Linked DNA regions of Sus scrofa. The protein of the gene in region 2 interacts with the protein of the main gene of each other region in a pairwise test. Links are inferred from orthologs where the notes say so. Each region holds a gene or a part of one and is shown on either strand. Other genes may lie near its edges. The genes, in order: TLK1 and PTPN11.

Region 1 (10,308 bases), on a different chromosome or scaffold from region 2:
AGATTTGACCCCTAGCCTGGGAACGTCCATATGCCGCAGGTGAGGCTCTAAAAAAAAAAAGGCAAAAAATAAGTAAATAAAATGTGACTGCCATTTGGTATTATACCAGATGAAGTAACTACAGCAATCTTGTGAATTTTTTTTAATGTAAACTTTATAAAAAGAAACAGCAAAAGGTGTACTTAATATGTGAGTAAAAGGTGAAGCAGTAGTACTCACCCCTTGCTGCTGATTAGAATCATCAGATGGAAAGGGTGGGAGGCACTTCATACAAGTACTGATGCCTAAACTCCACCCAGAAGGATTCTGATTAAATTGATGCGATACAGGGCTTGGGCACTGGTAGTTTTTAAAGCTCCTCCACATCATTCTAATTTAAGGCAGCACTGAGAACCATTGGTATAGAAACTCAGTGAAACCATCATCTGTGATCTTACAGTACCTTTGAAGCATCCAGTGTGCGTTTCCTTAGCCCATCCCAGGACACTCTCACATCCCTTTACCATTAACCACTTTTCTGAGTTTTGTATTTATTTCTTAGCCTTTGTGTTTCTTTATAGTTACATTACATATATCTTATACATTCTTAATGACATTATTTCACTTTGGTTTTGAACTTTATATAAATTAAAAAAAAATTTTTTTATTACTCAATGAATTTACTGTATTTATGGTCACGCAATGATCATCACAATCCAGTTTTATAGGATTTCCATTCCACAACCCCAGCGCATCCCCCTGAAGTTTATATAACACTCTATGTACTCTTTTCCCTGTTTGTTTTCACTAAACATTCTATGTGGAATTGTCATGTATTCATTTCACTACTATATAGTAAGACATTATATGAGTGTACTGTAATTTATCTTTTCTGCTCTTGGTGGACATTTTATTTCTACTTTTTGCTAATATGAACAATTCTGCTAGGAACATTTTTGTACATGCCTTCTATAGCAGACGTGGAAAAAATTCTCTACGGTCTATGCTTAGGAGAGATGTGGCCAGAGTACAAGGCATGCATATCCTCAGCTCTATTTTATTTTATTTTATTTATTTATTTATTTATTTATTTATTTTTATTTTTTTTGTCTTTTTGCTATTTCTTTGGGCCGCTTCCGCGGCATATGGAGGTTCCCAGCCTAGGGGTCTAATCGGAGCTGTAGCCACCGGCCTACGCCAGAGCCACAGCAACGCAGGATCCGAGCCGCGTCTGCAACCTACACCACAGCTCACAGCTCACGGCAATGCCGGATCGTTAACCCACTGAGCAAGGGCAGGGACCGAACCTGCAACCTCATGTTCCTAGTCGGATTCGTTAACCACTGCGCCACGACGGGAACTCCATCTATTTTATTTTTGTCTTTTTAGGGCCTCACCCATAGCATATGGAAGTTCCCAGGCTAGTGGTCGAATCGGAGCTGTAGCCGCTGGCCTACATCACAGCCACAGCAGCACAGGATCCGAGCCGCATGTGCATGTGTGACCTCCACCACAGCTCATGGTGATACCAGGTCCTTAACCCACTGAGCGAGGCCAGGTATCGAACCTGCGTCCTCATGGACGCTAGTCAGATTTATTTCTGCTGCCTCAGCTCTACTTTATAATGGCAAATTTTTTCCCAAGGTGGTTGGATCATTTTACACTCTACCAGCAATGGGCAAGAAATAATCTTATTGCTCATTATCCTTGCCACAGATCAAAGGTATACCAAAAGAATTAAATGTTTTATTCCTGAAGATCATAAAAGATGTTCCATGTTTTAATAGTTTTATAGTCTGATTTTTCAATATGAATTGTTAATCTCACTGGAATTCATTTTTGAGTGTGTTGTGAAGTAGTTTCATTTTAATTTCTTTCTATAGAGATAACCAGTCGCCCAGACTATGTAATTACCAGTCTACTCTTTACCACCTGCTCCATCATATAATCTCATTTTCTTTATACAAGTGGATCTATTTCTGTGTTCTGTGCTAAGTTCCATGTTCTGTTTGTGTATTCCAATACTAGTACCACAGCATCATTTTATCATTTAGCAGTTGTCTTTGGCTATTAGTAACAGAGAACATAAACAACAGTACTTTAAATGAGATAAAATATTATTTTTTGAGGGAAGAATAGAAAGGTGTGCTGGCTCCACAGTGTCATTGGATCTTGGCTCCTTCAGTTTTTCAGCTCCCTCATCCTTAGCACATGGTATTCATCTTGAAGGTCATTTCAAGGTAAAATATTTATTATAGTCACAATTATGGTATCTGTGTTCATAAGCAGAAAACAAAAAGAGGAAGGAAATAACAAGTGCAACAATTCTGTGTACAGTCTTCTTAGGTATTCCATTGAACAATTTCTGCCTACATTTCACTGACCAGTGTTAGCTGCAAGGGATCCTGGGAAACAGTCTTTTAGTTATTTACATATTAATCCAGAATAAAATATAAAATTTTCCTTTTTTTCTTTTTTGGTTGCACCCACAACATATGGAAGTTTCTGGGCCAGAGATTGAATCCATGCCACAGCAGTGACAATGCCAGATCCTTAACACACTAGGCCACCAAGGAACTCATTGTTTTCCATTATTAAAGAAGAAAGAGAGAATATACTTCAGTGATTGTAATTACTATAGGTTTCTTTTAAATATTGGTGTGTGGTTGAACAAGTATCTTCTTCTTTTTGGGTATTTTTGGCCCTTTGCACAAGTCTTGGAGAAATGTTCAAGTCATTTTTCAAGTCATGGATGTGTACAGACAAACACAGTTGGAGTTTTGTTTGAATTGCACATAATGATGAGGGTCTGTTGCTGAATTCCATTTTTTTTTTTTTTTTTTTTTGTCTTTTGTCTTTTGTTGTTGTTGTTGCTATTTCTTGGGCCGCTCCCGCGGCATATGGAGGTTCCCAGGCTAGGGGTTGAATCGGAGCTGTAGCCACCAGCCTACGCCAGAGCCACAGCAACGCGGGATCCGAGCCGCGTCTGCAACCTACACCACAGCTCAGGGCAACGCCGGATCGTTAACCCACTGAGCAGGGGCAGGGACCGAACCCGCAACCTCATGGTTCCTAGTCGGATTCGTTAACCACTGCGCCACGACGGGAACTCCTGAATTCCATTTTTGTTCCTCTGAAAGCATCTTTATTTTACCCTTTCTGTGAAAAAGTTTTATTAAATATATGCTTTTCGGTTGGCAGCTGTATTTTGTCCCAGCATTTTCAGCTTATTATACCACTGTCTTTTTGCTTCCAGCATGATTGGGCTAGACCTATGGTTTTCAAAGAATGACCCCCAGATCAGAAGCATCGGCATTACTGGACAGCTTTTTAGAAATAAACTTCAGACCCTCCTCCAGGCCTCCTAACTCAGACTCTGGAAATGGGTCCAAGCAAGCTGTGTTTCAACTAGTTCTCTAGGTTATTTTCTGGACTGAACTGTACTAGACTAATCAAACTTCTGAGCTAAGAGAGAAACCCCTTCCCTGAGCATATGGCTGCCTACAAAGCCAACAAAGTCGGTATTCATATGGCTGAGAAAGATGACGAGAATAGTTAGCTATTGAATAGGCATCTGCAGTGTCATCCACAAGTTTAACGGAGAAAAAAGTTTTATTAGTTACAAATGATGGAAGAGAACTCATTTTTAAGTGTTGAACACTTTTAATATGTGTTAGTTATTTTTAACTAATTGAGATAGATGGTATTGCTCTCTTTTAGAAATAAGAAAACTAAACTAAGGTTCAGATGACTTACTTAACTCAGCCAAGATTGTATACTGGAGAGTGGATTTGAACCCATGGAGTATGGGTACAAATTCCATGTACTTTCCACTACACAATTAAGCAGCATATGACAGTCTTATCCCATGGTAAGTAGATGTTTTAACAGATTGTTTTAGTTTCATACTCAAGTACTTAATCTTATTAATCCTTCTCTTTATGTAATTTGTTGAAAATGTACAAATATTCATAAGTGTCTCATATACAAAAATTCTAGCCCTTTTCTCATTGTCTGCTTGTAGGCTAACTGTGATCTCAGACGGCAGATAGATGAACAACAAAAATTACTTGAAAAATACAAAGAACGATTAAATAAATGTATATCAATGAGCAAGAAACTGCTTATTGAAAAGGTAAGTTAAAAGCTTAATAAAATTTCTGTTTCCTTTCACCAGTCCCTTTCACCGTGTATGCTTTTAAAATTTAAATTAATAAAATTGAATGATGATTTTCCCCCCTTTTTTCAGAGTACACAAGAAAAATTGTCAAGCCGAGAGAAGAGTATGCAAGACCGATTACGCCTTGGGCATTTTACAACAGTTAGACATGGTGCTTCATTTACTGAACAATGGACAGATGGTTTTGCATTTCAGAATCTCGTAAAGTTAGTCATTCTTAAATATTTCAAAAAATTTAGCATTCCTTTGGGTTTTCATTACTTTTAAAGATTATAGGTTTGGAATTATGTCCTGCTTCTTAACTACTCTTGGAAATCATAGAATTTAGTGCCTTAAAACAGAAATGTTATAATTTTAGCTTTAGCAGACTTTTCGATTGGTTAACATTCATCCATATAGTAACATATTCAACCGTATAGTATGATGTACATGCGGCTTTTGAAATTCTGAGGTGAACTTTAAAATGGAGAAATCATTAGCATGTTTTCTTGAGTATACATGGTGGCAGGTAAGAATTGGGTGACTGCTTATGTGTTAAGGAGCTGGGATCTATGCTCTTCCCTTTTTTTTTGCTGGAAAACTTTTAGAAACCTGAAAAGCAAGAGTAGTACCAACATTTAAATCAGCCTTATCAGAGTCAGTCCAGTTAAATGGAAAATGGAGGCAAAGCTTATTTCATACAGTATCACAAAAAAATTGCTGTCTCAAACCCTGGGCTCCAGTCCTTAACACAGAATGGCCTTCTATCTCCATTGATTTATTCAGCTTTTGTTCCACACACTGTACTGGGTATACTATAATGAAGCACAGTGTCTTTGTGATGGTAGGAAATGGGATTTTTTTTTTGCCCTTTAGGGCCACACCTGGATTATATGGAGGTTCCCATAGTAGGGGTCGAATCTAGCCACAGGTGCCAGCCTACGCCACAGCCACAGCAACACAGGATCTGAGCTGCATCTTCAGCCTACACCACAGCTCACGGCAACGCCAGATCCTTAACCCACTAAGCGAGGCCAGGGATTGAACCTGCAACCTCATGGTTCCTAGCTGGATTCATTTACTGCTGTGCCATAACAGGAACTCCAGAAATTTTTGGATTTTAATTATGTGGATAATGGGGAACTGTTAAAGTTTTGTATATAATGAATGAGGTCAGAATTGAGTTTTTTAAAATATAACTTTAAAAAGATGGTAATGTGAGGATAATGTAATAAATTGTTGACAGTTCAGATGGAGAAGCATCCGAATGAAAGATGGTTAGGCTTGAGCTAAACTATTAATAGTAAAAGTAGAGAGTAGGAGATACAGTTGAGACGGAACTTAAAAATTTTGAGTGTTTTATGAGCTGCAAAACCCAGACCTACAGTTGTCCTGGTAATGTTTAAAAGAGAAAACTACATAATATAACTCTAAATATAAATCTTAAGTATAAACTCTGCTAGTTAGAATTTCTCCATTAAGCTGTCAAAAAAAAAAGAATAAAATTGGGAATTCCCATTGTGGTTCAGTGGGTTAAGAACCCAGCTAGTACCCATGAGGACACGGGTTCTATCCTTGGCCTCTCTCAGTGGTTTAAGGATCTGGCATTGCTGTGAAGACCTGGCTTGGCTTTGGCTGTGACTGGCTGGCACCTACAGCTCCTATTTGACCCCTAACCTGGGAACTTCCATATGCCACGGGTGTGGCCTTAAAAAGGCAAACAAACAAAAAGCAAGTATTTATTGAATGCCTAGCATGCACCAGTCACTGTGCTGGGCACTTGGGATACAATGAGTATAAAATAGTTGTGATCTCTATTTTTATGGATTGGTGTAGCCTAACCAGACACATTCTGATCAAGTGTCTCTAGGAATACTTGCTGAAAAGAATAGTGGTAAGCTGCAAGGTACCGTGACATTATATATGGCCACACATCTTTCCCTAGTCCAGGGGGTTTAGGGAAGACCTCATTTAGAAATGAATGTTTCAAATGAGACCTGGACAATGAGAACAAGTTGGTTCACCAGGTAGACCATAAGGTTACAAATTTGTATTATATCATTTTTAAGGTTTACTAATGTGTTTTCATGTTTTAAAAGTAATGGAAGGTTAATATTGTTATTACATTTATTTTTTTATGCAGGCAACAAGAATGGGTGAATCAGCAAAGGGAAGATATTGAAAGGCAAAGGAAACTTCTAGCCAAACGCAAACCTCCCACAGCTAATAATTCTCAGGCACCCTCTACCAATTCTGAACCAAAACAAAGGAAAAATAAAGCAGTCAATGGAGCAGAAAATGATCCTTTTGTTAGACCAAATTTACCACAATTGTAAGCCTGCCTTTTTAATTTTCTTTTTTTTTAAATCATTGCCAGTGAGCATGAATGTTAGTAATGGATAGTAATTTTATGGCTAAGAAGGAAGGCAGTATTGAAAAGATCTACCTCTAGATTACTGATAAGCCCTAAATACCTGTGTTCTACCTTAGTAAGTGGAAATTTACTAATCCGCTTTTAAAATGGAATCTTAGGTAGCTAAGAGGAGGCTGGAACCCACTCTTTATTCCAGGTCGGAATGATAGAGCTAGTTATCCATTTTGATTATTCCAATTCAGTGTTCCTATTAATGTTCCTTTTTCTAAGAGAATGTTGAGTAATGTAACTGACATATTTTCTCAACCTATGAAAGCAGCACATTTGGAGGTTGTAGGTATTACTTTTTTCCCTTTTCTGCTTTCCTTTGTTCTCTAGGTTATCTGATTTAATAATGAATCACTCTTTATAATTCAAAAGACAATGCCATTTTTAAAAAGTATATATGCTTACTGTAGAAAGTTTGGAAAATATGAAAGAGCATGATAAAACAGTGTAGACTATGACCCAATCCCACAGAGAATACTATTGTTAAAATTTAAGTGTACAGGAGTTCCTTGGTGGCTCAATGGGTTAAGAATCCAGCTTTGTCACTGCTGTGGTGCGGGTTTGATCCCTGACTTGGAAACTTTTGCATGCTACCAGCATGGCTAAACAAAATTTTTTGGAGTTCCCATTGTGGCGCAGCAGAAACGAATCCAACCAGAAACCATGAGGTTGTGGGTTCAATCCCTAGCCTTGCTCAGTGGGTTAAGGATCCGGTGTTGCCATGAGTTGTAGTGTAGGTTGCAGAAGAGGCTTGGATCCAGCATTGCTGTGGCTGTGGTGTAGGCCGGCTGCTGTAGCTCCACTTTGACCCCAGCCCAGGAACCTCCATGTGCCGCAAGTGCAGCCCTAAAAAGCAAACAAACAAACAAAAATTTCATTGTACAGATGCAACCTAAAATATATAATTTTTCCATTCTGTAAGACTTTGTGTAAGTTTATGAATAGAAAATACATACCCACACCTTCTGCTTGTATTTTACATGTTTCTCTTTTGTCGAGAGAGAATGTTTTATCTATGATTTGAATCCCATCACCTGCTACATCAGGGATCTCCTGTTGATACTTCCTTTATCTTACATCTTGAACCCTTTGATCTCTACTTGTTCCTTCCTTTTAGGAAACAAAACAAAACATCTCTTACATAATTTTAAATCTCTCTAGTCTCCATATTCTGTCATCTTTATAACTAGATTTCCTGAGAGATTTGCTTGTGCTTCCAGTCTTTTCTGCTTCACTTGCCATTCTCTTTTCTTAACTGAAATTGTTCTTTTAAAGATTGTATCCTTGATCTAAATACTATAACCAGTTTTTACCTTAGCAGCATTGGATATTGTTTACTTTTTTTTTCCCTCAAAAGACTCTTTAGACCTAGTTTTTGAAATAAGCTTGTTTTCCTAATTTTCATTTTAACTTATCTGGCGCGGTCCTTTCATTCTCTTCTATAGACATCATTTACTGTAGCAGTTTGTAAAATGTAGAGCTTTTAAGACTTTGTCCTAGGCCATCTTACCTCTTACTCTATGTATTCTCCTTGAGTATTAGCTACTCCTAGGGTTTCAGTTACCTTGTTTATGCTGTTGCCTCCAAATTTCTGTTTCCAGCCTTCTTTTCTCTCTTGAGTATCAACTGTTTGTATTTTAGTCTTTAATGTCATCTCATTGCTTAGTTGATATTGGTATTTAAGTGCCTCACAGGGCCTCTAATATAGCCTATTCAAAAGTGTATTTACTAAACACAGAAAATTAAACTATACTTATTAACTATTTAAGTCTCTCTCCATACCCTCCCCCACATTGCCTTCTCCTGTGTTTTCTTTGTTAATAAATGGTACTATCATTTTTTCGGTTCCTCATGCCAGAATTCTGGTTGTCACCCTTAGCTTTTTAGATCCAGATTCCATTTATTTTTCTTACTCTATTTTCATTTTTTTTTTCACTAATAGGTGGTAATAATCTTATATTTTAAAGTCTAGTTTCAGTCCTCGGTCTAGGACCTTCCGCATGCTGTTGGTACAACCAAAAAGGGGGAAAAGACTAAAATCTACTAATATACTTCTTCATGCCTTTCCTAAATTTTTTTGGGGGGAGGGGGGACTATTTTAAGTTAGAATTAAATCATTTCACTATTGATTTAAAAAAACTTAATGAGTTACTTTTCATAAATCAGTAAATTTATTGCTTTAAAAAGGTGGATGGAGGGAGTTCCCATTGTGGCTCAGCAGGTTAAGAGCCCAACACAGTGTCTATGAGGATGTGGGTTCAATCCCTGGCCTCACTCAGTAGGTTAAGGATTCGGCTTTTCTACAAGCTTTGCGGTAGGCCAGCAACTGCAGCCGTAAAAAAAGGAACTGAGCTGTAAAAAAGGAAAAAAAAAAAGTTGGATGGATAGATGAGCTGTTATATAGAAGAAATTGTATGTTAGCTTCAACTCCATCCCCAGACACCCAATCTTCAGGAGCTCAAATGTGTCCACTGTTATCTCTCATTTGGGTTATCTCTTCTCACCCCCACCACCCCCCTCATTTTTCAGCTTTATTCTAGTCCTCCAATCCATTTTCATCTTGCAGAGTCTTTTTTCCCAAATAAAAATGTGATTTTATTTTTCTTCCTTTTAAACGTAACACAGCTCTCCATCGTTTGAAGGACATAATCCAAAAGTCTTAAAAAGCTTATAAAGCATTTTTGATCTGGTAGCTTCTGACCTCTCTAGCCTCATCTTTTATTGCTGATAAAAGGCACTGGTGAGTGCCTCCTACTCGCCACCAACTTTTAAACTCCAACCCGTTGTCTTAATTTCTGTTCACCTTTTAAATCCCATACTAGGTATTTCCTCCTCATGAAAGTTTTTCTTTGACCCTCAAAGGATAAGAATTAGTTTTCACTTGGAGGTATTGCCATAGTGCCTTCTTTGTCTTCTGTCACACCATCATCATTCATTCAGTTAATCATGCTAGAAACGTCCTAGATGTTTGTCTTTTCCGTGTTCTCTGTGTCTATTCCCAACAGTTTTGTATCTGTCCATCTTCATTGCCACTGTCTTGCTGTAGGACTGCACCCCCCCCTTAACTTAGATTACTGTTACTTACGTGTCTCATCATGTCACTTTCATGTTTAACCTCATTCACCGGCCTGAAGGTAAAATTCTCTCTCGTGAAGATGCTGTATAGCCTTCTTATTTCTCTCACTCTCCAATGTCTGCCCTATTATCCTATGTTAAACTCTTTCAGTTCTCTAAATGGATTGTGCCGTTTTGTTTCTGTGCCTTTGTACATCATGTTCCTTGCCTTTCTTTACCTCTCTCATTTCCTTCTCCTCCTCTAAGGTTTGCTTCAAATGCCAATTTCAATAGGAAATCCTCTTTGTCCTTTTTTCTTTCCAGTTGTTCTGCTTTCCCCTCAAGTTAGGTGCCCATAGCCATTTATACATGTCTATCAATATTATAGCATTTATCTTACCATTTTATCTCTATACTCTCAATATCTAGTACAGTTCCTGGCATATGGAAAGTGGTCAATAAATACTAAATTATAGTACATAAGCATTTGATTGAATTTCATTTTCTCCTCTGTAGACTATTTTTCTAATTTGTCACGGTTATTGTGCTTCCCACTTGTCTTCCAAGATGCTAACAGCCCTAACTGTAGTTTATTAATCTAAGATTGTCTCATTCCTATCTCATTTTATTGCATTTTTTGACTTCTTACTAACCCTGAATTTACACTGCTATGTGTTTTTGGAGTCACAAATGA
Region 2 (10,809 bases):
CTCTGCCAAAACCCATTATCAAAACTAACCATACTCTCTGGAGTTCCTGCTACGGGGAAATGGGTTAAGGATCCTGTGCTGTCTCTGCATCTACACAGGCTCAATCCCCAGCCCAGGAACTTACATATGCCACATATGTGACAAAAAAAAAAATTTTTTTTTAATTCTCTGCATTTGGCTTATTTTTTTTTTCCTCCCAGCAATTACTACTACTGAAATGGTTTTATTTATTCATGTGTTGGTCCATTTTCTCTCCCAACCATTAGAACAGCAATATTTGCCTGTTGTACCAACTGGTTCAGTAACTACTTGTTGAATGAATTCATTCTGGGGTTAAAAATCATTTGAAAAAGAAGACAGTTCCAAGACTAACACTATCTTGGGGAGTTCCCTGGTGGCTCAGCAGGTTAAAGATCCCGTGTTGTCACTGCTTGGGTTTCTGCTATGGCATGAGTTCAATCTTTGCCCCTATAACTTCTACAAGGCCCAGCCTGGACAAAAAAAAAAAAAAAAAAAAAAACTAACACTATCTAGTTTCAAGACTTGTTAGGAGATCCAGTCGTGGCTTAGCAGTTAACAAACCCGACTAGCATCCATAAGGACTCGGGTTAGATCCCTGGCCTCAATCAGTGGGTTAAGGATCCAGCATTGCCCTGAGCTGTGGTGTAGGTCACAGACACGGCTTGGATCCTGCGTTGCTGTGGCTCTGGCATAGGCCAGCGGCTATGGCTCCAATTGGACCCCTAGCCTGGGAACCTCCATATGCCGCAGATGCAGCTCCCCCCCAAAAAAAGACAAGACTTATTATAATGCAATGGTAATCAAGATCATGTGGAAAGACAAGTCAATGGAACAGACTAGAGTCCAGAAATAGACCCACGACCCCCATATAAATGGACAAATGATTTTCAACAAAGGTGCAAGTTCAATAAAAATGGAAAGTCTTTTCAACAAATAGTGCTGGAACAACTGGATACCCATATGCGAAAAAGAGAAGATACATCCACACCTCATGCCACATACAGAAGTTAATTCAAAGTGGACCATAAACCTAAAACTATAAAAATTGTAGGAAACAAGAGAAAACATTTAAGATCTTGGGTTAAGCAGGAGTTCCCATTGTGGCACAGTGGTTAACAAATCCGACTAGGGACTATGAGGTTGCGGGTTCGATCCCTGCCCTTGCTCAGTGGGTTAACAATCCGGCATTGCCGTGAGCTGTGGTGTAGGTCACAGACACGGCTCGGAACCCGCGTTGCTGTGGCTCTGGCATAGGCCAGTGGCTACAGCTCCGTTTGGACCCCTAGCCTGGGAACCTCCATATGCCGCGGGAGCGGCCCAAGAAATAGCTTAAAAAAAAAAAAAAAAAAAAAAAAAGATCTTGGGTTAAGCAAAGATTTCTTAGAAATGTCACCAAAAGCATAATCCTTTTTTTTTAAATGATAAACTGGACGTCATCAAAATTTAAAAAAACCCTGTTTAAAACACCATTTTAAACATGAAAAGACGTCACAGACTAAAAGAAAATATTTGCAATTCTGATCAAAGACTTGTTTCCAGAACAAAAAACTCTCCAATTTCAATAATAAAACAAACAAGTAAATTTTAAAAAGGGAAAATATGGAGTTCCCTTGTGGTACAGCAGGTTAAGGATTTGGTGTTTCCCTGCAGCAGCCCGGGTCACTGCTGTGGTGCAGGTTGGATCCCTGGCCCAGGAACTTCCATGCCGCAGGCACGACTAATAAATAAATAAACAGGTAAAAAGGGAAAATATTTGATCAAATAGACATGTCACCAAAGATGGCACACAAGCACATGAAAAGATGATCAACATTATTAGTCATTGGAGAAAATACAAATTAAAACTACAATGAATAAATATCAAATCATTACACTGTATACCTAAAACCAACAGAATGTTATATGTCAATTACACCTTAATTAAAATATTAAGTGAGTACAATTAAAATTTAATTTTTTTTTTTCTTTTTTGGCCACCCTGAGGCATACTGAGGTCCCAGACCAGGGATCAGATCCAAGCCACAGTTGCAATGCTGGATCCTTAACGCACTGTGCTAGGCCAGGGATCAAACCCACATCCAGGTGCTCCAGAAATGCTGGCTATCCCATTGCACCACAGCAAGAACTCCAAAATTTCAAAATTTTAAAGTGCTAACATGGGAAAAAAAAAAAAAAAAAAAAAAAAACCCACAAGATACGACATACCTTTTAAATGGCTAAAATTTAAAAATGGACCATACCAAGTGTTGTTCAGGATGTGGAGGAACTGTAACTCTAACATACTGTTGGTGGGAATGTACATGTATAAACATTCTGAAAATGTCTGCCAATTTCTGGAAAAGTTTGTGTGTGTGTGTGTGTGTGTGTGTGCGCGCGCGCGCGCGCCTTTTCTAGGGCCTCTCCCACAGCATATGGAGGTTTCCAGGCTAGGGGTCTCATCAGAGCTGTAGCTACCAGCCTACGCCAAAGCCACAGCAACACAGGATGCAAGCCGCACCTGGGACCTATACCACAGCTCACGGTAACGCCAGATCCTTAACCCACTGATCAAGGTCAGGGATCGAACCTGAAACCTCATGGTTCCTACTCAGATTCATTAACCACTGAGCCACAACAGGAACGCCCCTAAAAAAGTTAAATATATATCTACTATGTGAACCAGCCATACCATTGATGGGTATTTTCCAAAGAGGAATGAGGTACACAGCTATACACACAGTTGTACACCAACATTCAGAGCAGCTTTATTTGTGATGGCCAAACTCTGAAACAACCCAAATGTCCAGCAACAGGTAGGTGGATAAATAGATGGCAGTACATCCATACGATGGAATATTACTAATCAATAAAAAGTAATGAACTATTTGACACACACACTATAATATGGTTGAATCTCAACATAATTATGCTGAGCATAAGAAACCATACATCAAAGCCCATTTATACAAAATTCTAGGAAATGCAAACTAATACACAGGGACAGAAAACAGAAGAGTGTTTGTCTGAGAAGGAAGGGATTAGAAAGGGCTTGAGGAGCCATGGCAAGGCGTGATGGATATGTCCATTATCTCAATTATGGTGATGGTTTTACAAGTGTATCTATGTGTCAAAACTTCTCAAACTGTATGCTTAAATATATGCAGTTGGGAGTTCCTGCTATGGCACATCGGTACTGGCAGCGTCTTGGGAGCACTGGGACACAGGTTCCATCCCCAGCCTGACACTGTGGGTTAAGAATCCTGTGTTGCCGCAGCTGCAGCTTAGGTCACAACTTCGACTTGGATGTAATCCCTGGCCCAGGGAACTTCTATATGCCGCAGGGCAGCCAAAAAAGACAAAAAAAAAAAAAAAAAAAAAAAGAAAGAAAGAAAGAAAAACAAATATATGCAATCTATCCTATGTCGTTTATACCTCAATAAAGCTGGTTAAAAATAAAACATCTATCTGAAAAATAAAAATAAATAGTTTCCAATTATGTGTGTTATATTCATAATATGACTTTTAGGTGGCACACATTTCTTTTCCATAACAGGTAAGAGAGGGCTGGAGGAGAGAAGGAATTACTCCATTTCAAGCTGTCATCTTTACCACTTGCTGCTTTGGCTATACCACACTTCCTGGCTTCTAAACTAACAAGCTAGACAATGTAGAGTCTATTACTACCCAGCCCCTATCCCAGCCCCAGCCCCCAATCTTTTTGTCTCCTAAAAGAAGCAGATCCTTACTTGTCTGGAAGAGCAGACACAAGGAACAAAAGGCTCAATGACTATTTGACAGATTAAAGAATAGACAACTGTTTTATTTAAAAGCTCCCTAAAGAATAAGCACATTTGAGGCTATACACTGTTCTGCTGAAATGCAATTATGTATTACCCAGATCTGTAAGCACTTGCCAACAGACCTGTCCAAAGCACTCACTTTCTAAGTTTTCAGTTTTCTTCTTTCTCTTTTCATTCCATGAATGGAAAATATGCAGGTGTTTTTGAGAAAGCATTCCTAATATTTTGAAATCTCTCATTCAAATAACTCTAACAGCTTGAAACAGTTTTTCAAATGTCTGAGACAGTGACCATAACAGGACAATGAAGGAAAGTCTAAACAATGGATCTTATGTTTGAATCGTATATAAAAAGTAGCAATACATAGCAGGATCGTTATCTGAAAACAACAGATCATACTACTGTTTAACAACAAAATTAAGGCTTACAAATGATTGGCAATAGTTATGAAACAATAATAGCAACCTAGTAATTAACAGTGGGGATTCTGGTTCCACTACTTATTGATAGACTGACCTTAGGCAAGTTGCCTAACTTCTGAAACTCAGTTTACTCATCTTTAGAACGGTGATAACACTACCTATCTCATAGGTTGAGAGTAAGGATTAAACGTATCTGGCATACAGTAAGAGCTAAATAAATGTTAGCTATTAATGGTATAACTACACTGAACTTTCAAAGAATCTCAATTCACTACTCTGAGGACTCTTCGGTTCAAATCCTATTACTATCATGTTTCCTCTGAGCCTCAGTTTACACATCCGTAAAACGGGGGTGATTAATGTTACCAGACATTTACGGTTGTGGTGAAGGATTAAATAACTAGAGACAGAGCTCCCTGCCCTCCAATCTCCCAAAGAGAAGATCGCAGAGGAAGGAAATACTTCTAATAGCTGTAGATACAGTCAGTTTTTCCATTTCTGGCACGTGAGTAGTCGGGGGGACGGGATGCAAAAAGGCATGTAAAGGGGTCAGGGATCCTGAGTAAAGCCCCCGAATGCGCGCAAAAAGTAGTGACCCAGAGCCGCTCGATCAACTGGGGCCCGGCCCCGCGCAACTCCCTCCTCTCCCCTCCCGCGTCCCGGACCGAGGAGCCTCCCCAAGTGAGCGGGGTTATTTCGGAATCACCATGAGGCAATTCTCATGAGGCAATGGGTCAGGAATGCGGCGCCGAGCCGGGCCGCTGGCGTCCGCGGTTCCTGGGGCGGCTCTACCTGCCCCTGTCCAGACGGGCATCCCCAGGGCTGCAGGAGCCGGAACTCGGGGAGGCAGGAAATGAATGAGGACGCGAGGGGTGGGGGCGCGGTGGGGCCGGGCCCTGGGGCCCAGGAGGGACAGGGAGTTGGGACAGATCCTGCCCCCGCGACCCCGGGCCGGAGTCCGAAGCCTGGCCCGGCCGCCCCTTCCCAGGCCGGGCAGACCAAACGCGGCGCGGGGGGGGTGCGGGGCTGAGGCCCAGGCTGGGCCCTCGGGGCTCCTCACCTCCGCGATGTCATGTTCCTCCCGCTCTCCGGCTCCGCGACGGACCGGTTCCTTGCTCAGGCTCCACTGAGCCTGGTCACATCGGGCTGGCCCGAGGGAGGCCCGCTCGGGACCGGACGGGGGGCAGTGCCAGCCGGCCGCGCGCAGACCCCCCTCCAGGCCTGGGGATCCCGGGGACTGTGCAGCCGCCCCCCAACCTCGGTTCGCTCCTCCTTCTCCCCCGCCCCTCGGCGCCGGCGCCACCATGACGTCACCCCGCGCGACGCCGGCCGCTACTTCCTGCTTCCAGTCAGCCGGGGCTGATCTGCAACTGGTTATGGCAATTTAGTGGTTCGGCGAAGCAGCTGCCGTGCAGTTCCCAAAGTACCCTCACCTCCTCCTTTAGGCCTTCACAGCGGGGCCTGTGCTGTGCGCTCAAAGTCTCACGCGCTCACAGGAATTGATCGCATCCACTCCCACCGCGTGGATTTCCATTCCTGCGCCGTCAAGTCGAATTTCATTCATTTCATTCTACAAACAGCCGCTTCGCTCCAGATATGTAACCTTGGGAAAACTGCTTGATTTCTCTGAGGCTGTTTCCTCCATTCCTTCATTTCTGTACAACGAGAATTGTATTTTCTTCTTAGGTTTATGGGGAGAATTAAAAATGTAAAATGTTTAGAACGAGGCCTGGCCTATTAAGTGCTTTATTGGAAGTAAACATGCAAGTGTTTTCTATCTGCTAGGCTCTATTTTTGACTATGGGGATGAAAAGACAAAAATCCCGGTGTTCTTGTGATAGGAGCCATAGTAATCAAGAGAAATACTCCCATCCTCATTTCCCTTCTTTTCTCCATAGCCGTTTATGTTATTTTAAAGGATAACGTTATCACTAAGGATAACGTTTGAGTAAAGATCTGATGTAGAAATAGACAGAATAATTTAGGGGAAGAGCATTTCAAGCACAGGGAGAGGCCATTGCAAAGGGCCTGAGGCAGGAGGCAGGAGGGAAAATGAAGAAATCTCTGCCTGGAGCACAGTAGGAGGTGGGAAGGGTATAGGAAATATAAGGAGAGTAGTAGGAAATGATAACACTCCCTATAAATGAAAGTCCAGGACCAGATGGATTCACAGGTGAATTCTACCAAACATACAAAGAGGAACTTATACCCATCCTTAAACTTTTCCAAAAGTTTGAAGAAGGAACACTCCCAAAGACATTCTATGATGCCACCATCATCCTAATACCAAAACCAGACAAAGATGTTAACAAAAAAGAAAACTATAGGCCAATATCTTTGATGAATACAGACCCCAAAATTTTCAACAAAATTTTAGCCAACTGCATCCAAAAACATAAAAAAGATTATACACCATGACCAAGTGGGATTCATCCCAGGATCACAAGGATGGTTCAACATATGCAAATCAATCAATGTCGTACACCACATCAACAAAAGAAAAGTCAAAAACCACACGATCGAACTATGTATAGATACTCATATTGCAACAGAACAAAGGGTGGGGGAAAAAATGTATACATGTAAGGATAACTTGATCCCCTTGCTGTATGGTGGGAAAAAAAAAAAACCACACGATCATCTCAATAGATGCAGAAAAAGCATTTGACAAAATTCAACACCCATTCATGATAAAAACTCTTATCAAAGTGAGTGTAGAGGGAATATACCTTAACATAATAATAAGCCATTTATGACAAATCTACAGCAAATATAATACCCAATGGAGAAAAGCTGAAAGCCTTCCCACTGAAATCGGGAACAAGACAAGGATGCCCACTCGCACCACTTTTATTCAACATAGTATTGGAAGTACTAGACAAAGCAATAAGACAAAAGAAATAAAAGGTGTCCAAATTGGGAGAGAAGAGGTAAAATTGTCACTGTATGCAGATGATGACATGATACTATACATAGAAAACCCTAAGGACTCAACCCAAAAACGACTCGAACTGATCAACAAATTCAGCAAATAGCAGAATATAAGATTAACATTCAGAGGAGTTCCCATCATGGCTCAGTGGTTAACGAATCTGACTAAGAACCATGAGGTTGCGGGTTCTAATCCCTGGCCTTGCTGAGTGGGTTAAGGATCTGGCGTTGCTGTGAGCTGTGGTGTAGTTTACAGATGCAGCTCGAATCCCACGTTGCTGTGGCCATGGCGTAGGCCAGCAGCTATAGCTCCGATTGGACCCCTAGTCTGGGAACCTCCATATGCCTCGGGTGCAGCCCTGGAAAAGGCAAAAAAAAAGAAAAAAAAAAGATTAACATTCAGAAATCAGTTGCAGTTCTGTATACTAACAAAGAAATATTAGAAAAGGAATATAAGGGAGTTCCCATTGTGGTGCAGCAGAAACGAATCCAACTAGGAACCATGAGGTTGCGGGTATGACACCTGGCCTTGCTCAGTGGGTTAAGGATCTGGTGTTGCCATGAGCTGTGGTGTAGGTTGCAGACACCGCTAGGACCCCGCATTGCTGTGGCTATGGCTGTGGTGAGGGCCAGTAGCTGCAGCTCTGATTCAAACCTTAGCCCGGGAACTTCCATGTGCTGCAGGTGCACCCCTAAGAAGCGGGGGAAAAAAAGTATTACTTTGGTACTTTGATTAAGTGAATCAAGAGGGCAAGGCTAGAAATAGAGACCAGTTCAGAATATTAAAATACTGTAATTCCAGGCTAGAGATGATAGCAGCTTAGACCGCAGTGAGAAGACAGAGTTTTTATCTGATGAATGCCTGTGTGGCTCATTAATGGCCACAGATCTAGTTAGTGGCAGTGCCAGAATTCAAACTCACATCATCCAAAATCCTCATTTTTTCCTTCCACTGCTAGTCATCTCACTCTAATACAAAGAACTGTCATAAAATGTGCTAACTGCTTCAGCCTCAATGTTACCCAAAAACCCTTATAAAAATCACCTTTAATATATGCCAGTTGGATGTAGGTTGCAGGCATTCAACAAACAGTTGCCCAGCCTGTTTCTTTCCATTCGCCTAAATCCTGGCTGCCCAAATGACTCAAACAACATTCTGACTGATCTCAGACCTGCAGGTTTGCCCTTTCCACTCCATTCACCATGTAACAGCCACAGTAATCTAAAACAAAAAACTAGTCACTCCTTAAATTCAACATTTCAATGGCTTCTCTTTACTTTTAGGATACGATCAAAAAAAATTTTATGGGAGTTACCCTCATAGCATCCATGAGGACAAGGGTTCGATCCCTGGCCTCACCCAGTGGGTTAAGGATCCAATGTTGCTGTGAGCGTGGTCTGTAGGTCACAGATGCCACTTGGATCCCAGGATGCCGTGGCTCTGACGTAGGCCAGAGGCTATAGCTCTGATTGGACCCCTAGCCTGGGAACCTCCATGTGCCGTGGGTTCAGCCCAAAAAAGACCAAAAATAAATTTTTTTTTACACAGTTCCTACTGTTGTACAGTGGGCTAAGAATCTGACTGCAGTGACTCAGGTTGTTGAGGAGTCTCAGGTTTGATCCCCACAGGATCCAGCATTGCCACATCTGCTGCCTGGGTCAAAGTTATGACTCAGATTCAATCCCTGGCCAGGGAACTTGCATGCGCCCTGGGTGGGACCATTAAAAAATAATGATCAGGAGTTCCCGTCATGGCACAGTGGAAACAAATCCGAGTAGGAACCATGAGGTTGCAGGTTTGATCCCTGGCCCTGCTCAGTGGGTTAAGGATCTGGCATTGCCATGAGCTGTGATGTAGGTCACAGATGCAGCTCGGATCCTGCATTGCTGTAGCTGTGGTGTAGGCCGGCAGCTGTAGCTCTGATCAGACCCCTAGCCTGGGAACCTCCATATGTCGCAGGTACGGCCTAAAAAAAGCAAAAAAAAAAAAAATTCATAACTACCTGTTCTGGTCCCTGCTCACTTAACCAGCTGCTCCCCTCCCCAAGCATTCTGTGACCCAGCCATACTGAATAACTTCCATTTCCCCTCAATTGTTCTCTCCCAGCTCAGAGCCTTTAAACAATCTTCTCCCTGTTCCTGGATGATTCTGACCTCCCTCCCTGTGAACTCTGATCTCAGGCTGGAAGTCATCTCCTCTAGAATAAGAAGAATCACCTGGAGCTCCCATCGTGGCTCAGCGGTTAACAAACCTGACTAGGATCCATGAAGATGCAGGTTCAATCCCTGGCCTTCCTCAGTGGGTTAAGCATCCAGCGTTGGCATGAGCTGTGGTGTAGGTTGCAGATGTGGCTCAGATCTGGCATTGCTGTGGCTGTGGCGTAGGCCACCAGCTACAGCTCCCATGCTCCAGTTTGACCCTAGCCTGGGAACCTCCACATACCACAGGTGCCCCCCACCCCTGCCACCAAAAAAAAAAGGAAGAAAGAAAATGCTTCCATTAACACATCAGGCCCTTCTAAACATGAACTATGCCTACCTGGTCAGTTTCATTTACCTCTACTCCCTCACATATGCCTCTGGCTGTTTCTTGTATCCCTATCTACCAAATGCCTCTGGCTGTTTCTTGTATCCCTGTCTACCAAAATTTAGTTATTTTTGTCTGAAATACCTTTTCAAATGGTCTCCATCTAAAAAACCAAGCATCCTGCAAGATTCCACTTCAACTCAATAAGCTTCTCCAGGAAACATGCACAGCACAAAACTCTTGACTACTTAGAATAAAGCAGAGGCTTTGGAGTCTCTCCCTATGATTTGGGAGCTGCATGTTTATGCTTCTTTTGGCCCCTAACACAGTTCAGTGTCATTGTTGGTTGACTTCTCTGTCTCTTCCCCTAGATTAGGAGCTCCTCTTAAACTCATTGCCTTCTGCATCTTCATATGCCCAGAGCCTAACACAGGGCCTGGCATATAATAAGCTTAAGAAATAGTCATTTAGATATACTTTATTTTAATTTCTTTCTCAACAACAAAAACAATACAAGCTCCTTGTAACAGGCCAAATAAAAATAGTAATTTTCCCTGCTTCACAATGTATACAACCTCCCTACCCCAACCCCCATCAGCATTAACTTGGTGTCAGAGTTCTTGTGGTGGCGCAGCAGTAACGAACCTGACTAGTATCCATGAGTATGGATATGCCACAGGTGGGCCCTAAAAAGAAAAAAAAAATTTGGTGTCAATCCTTCCACACTTTTCTCTATACCTATATGAACACACACATATATTACACATCCTGCTCATTCACACACATAACATATATGGGAAGTTTTTTTTTCTGGCCACACTCAAGGCATGTGGAAGTTCCCAAGCTAGGGATGGAACCCCCACAGAAATTGTGGCCTATGGCATAGTGGCAGCAACTCCAGATTCTTTTTTTTTTTTTTTTTTTTTTTGTCTTTTCTGGGGCTGCACCCACAGCATACGGAGGTTCCCAGGCTAGGGGTCAAATTGGAGCTGTAGCTGCCGGCCTACACCACAGCCACAGCAACACCAGATCCGAGCCGTGTCTTTGACCTACACTACAGCTCACGGCAACACCAGATCCTCAACCCACTGAGCAAGGCCAGGGATCGAAGCTGCAACCTCATGGTTCC

The links.
Region 1: the proteins of PTPN11 (region 2) and TLK1 interact in binary tests that used the Homo sapiens proteins (3 or more experiments, as listed by UniProt). The link is inferred for Sus scrofa from reciprocal best matches to the Homo sapiens genes PTPN11 and TLK1.

What each region holds. Positions count from the first base shown.
Region 1 is NC_010457.5:77,215,259-77,225,566, reverse strand, and holds part of TLK1 (serine/threonine-protein kinase tousled-like 1), read left to right. Parts: intron 1-4,003; coding exon 4,004-4,114; intron 4,115-4,228; coding exon 4,229-4,365; intron 4,366-6,281; coding exon 6,282-6,470; intron 6,471-10,308. UniProt on the Homo sapiens protein: Rapidly and transiently inhibited by phosphorylation following the generation of DNA double-stranded breaks during S-phase. This is cell cycle checkpoint and ATM-pathway dependent and appears to regulate processes involved in chromatin assembly.
Region 2 is NC_010456.5:39,286,522-39,297,330, forward strand, and holds the start of PTPN11 (tyrosine-protein phosphatase non-receptor type 11), read right to left. Parts: upstream 5,519-10,809; 5' UTR 5,297-5,518; coding exon 5,283-5,296; intron 1-5,282. UniProt on the Homo sapiens protein: Acts downstream of various receptor and cytoplasmic protein tyrosine kinases to participate in the signal transduction from the cell surface to the nucleus. Positively regulates MAPK signal transduction pathway. Dephosphorylates GAB1, ARHGAP35 and EGFR.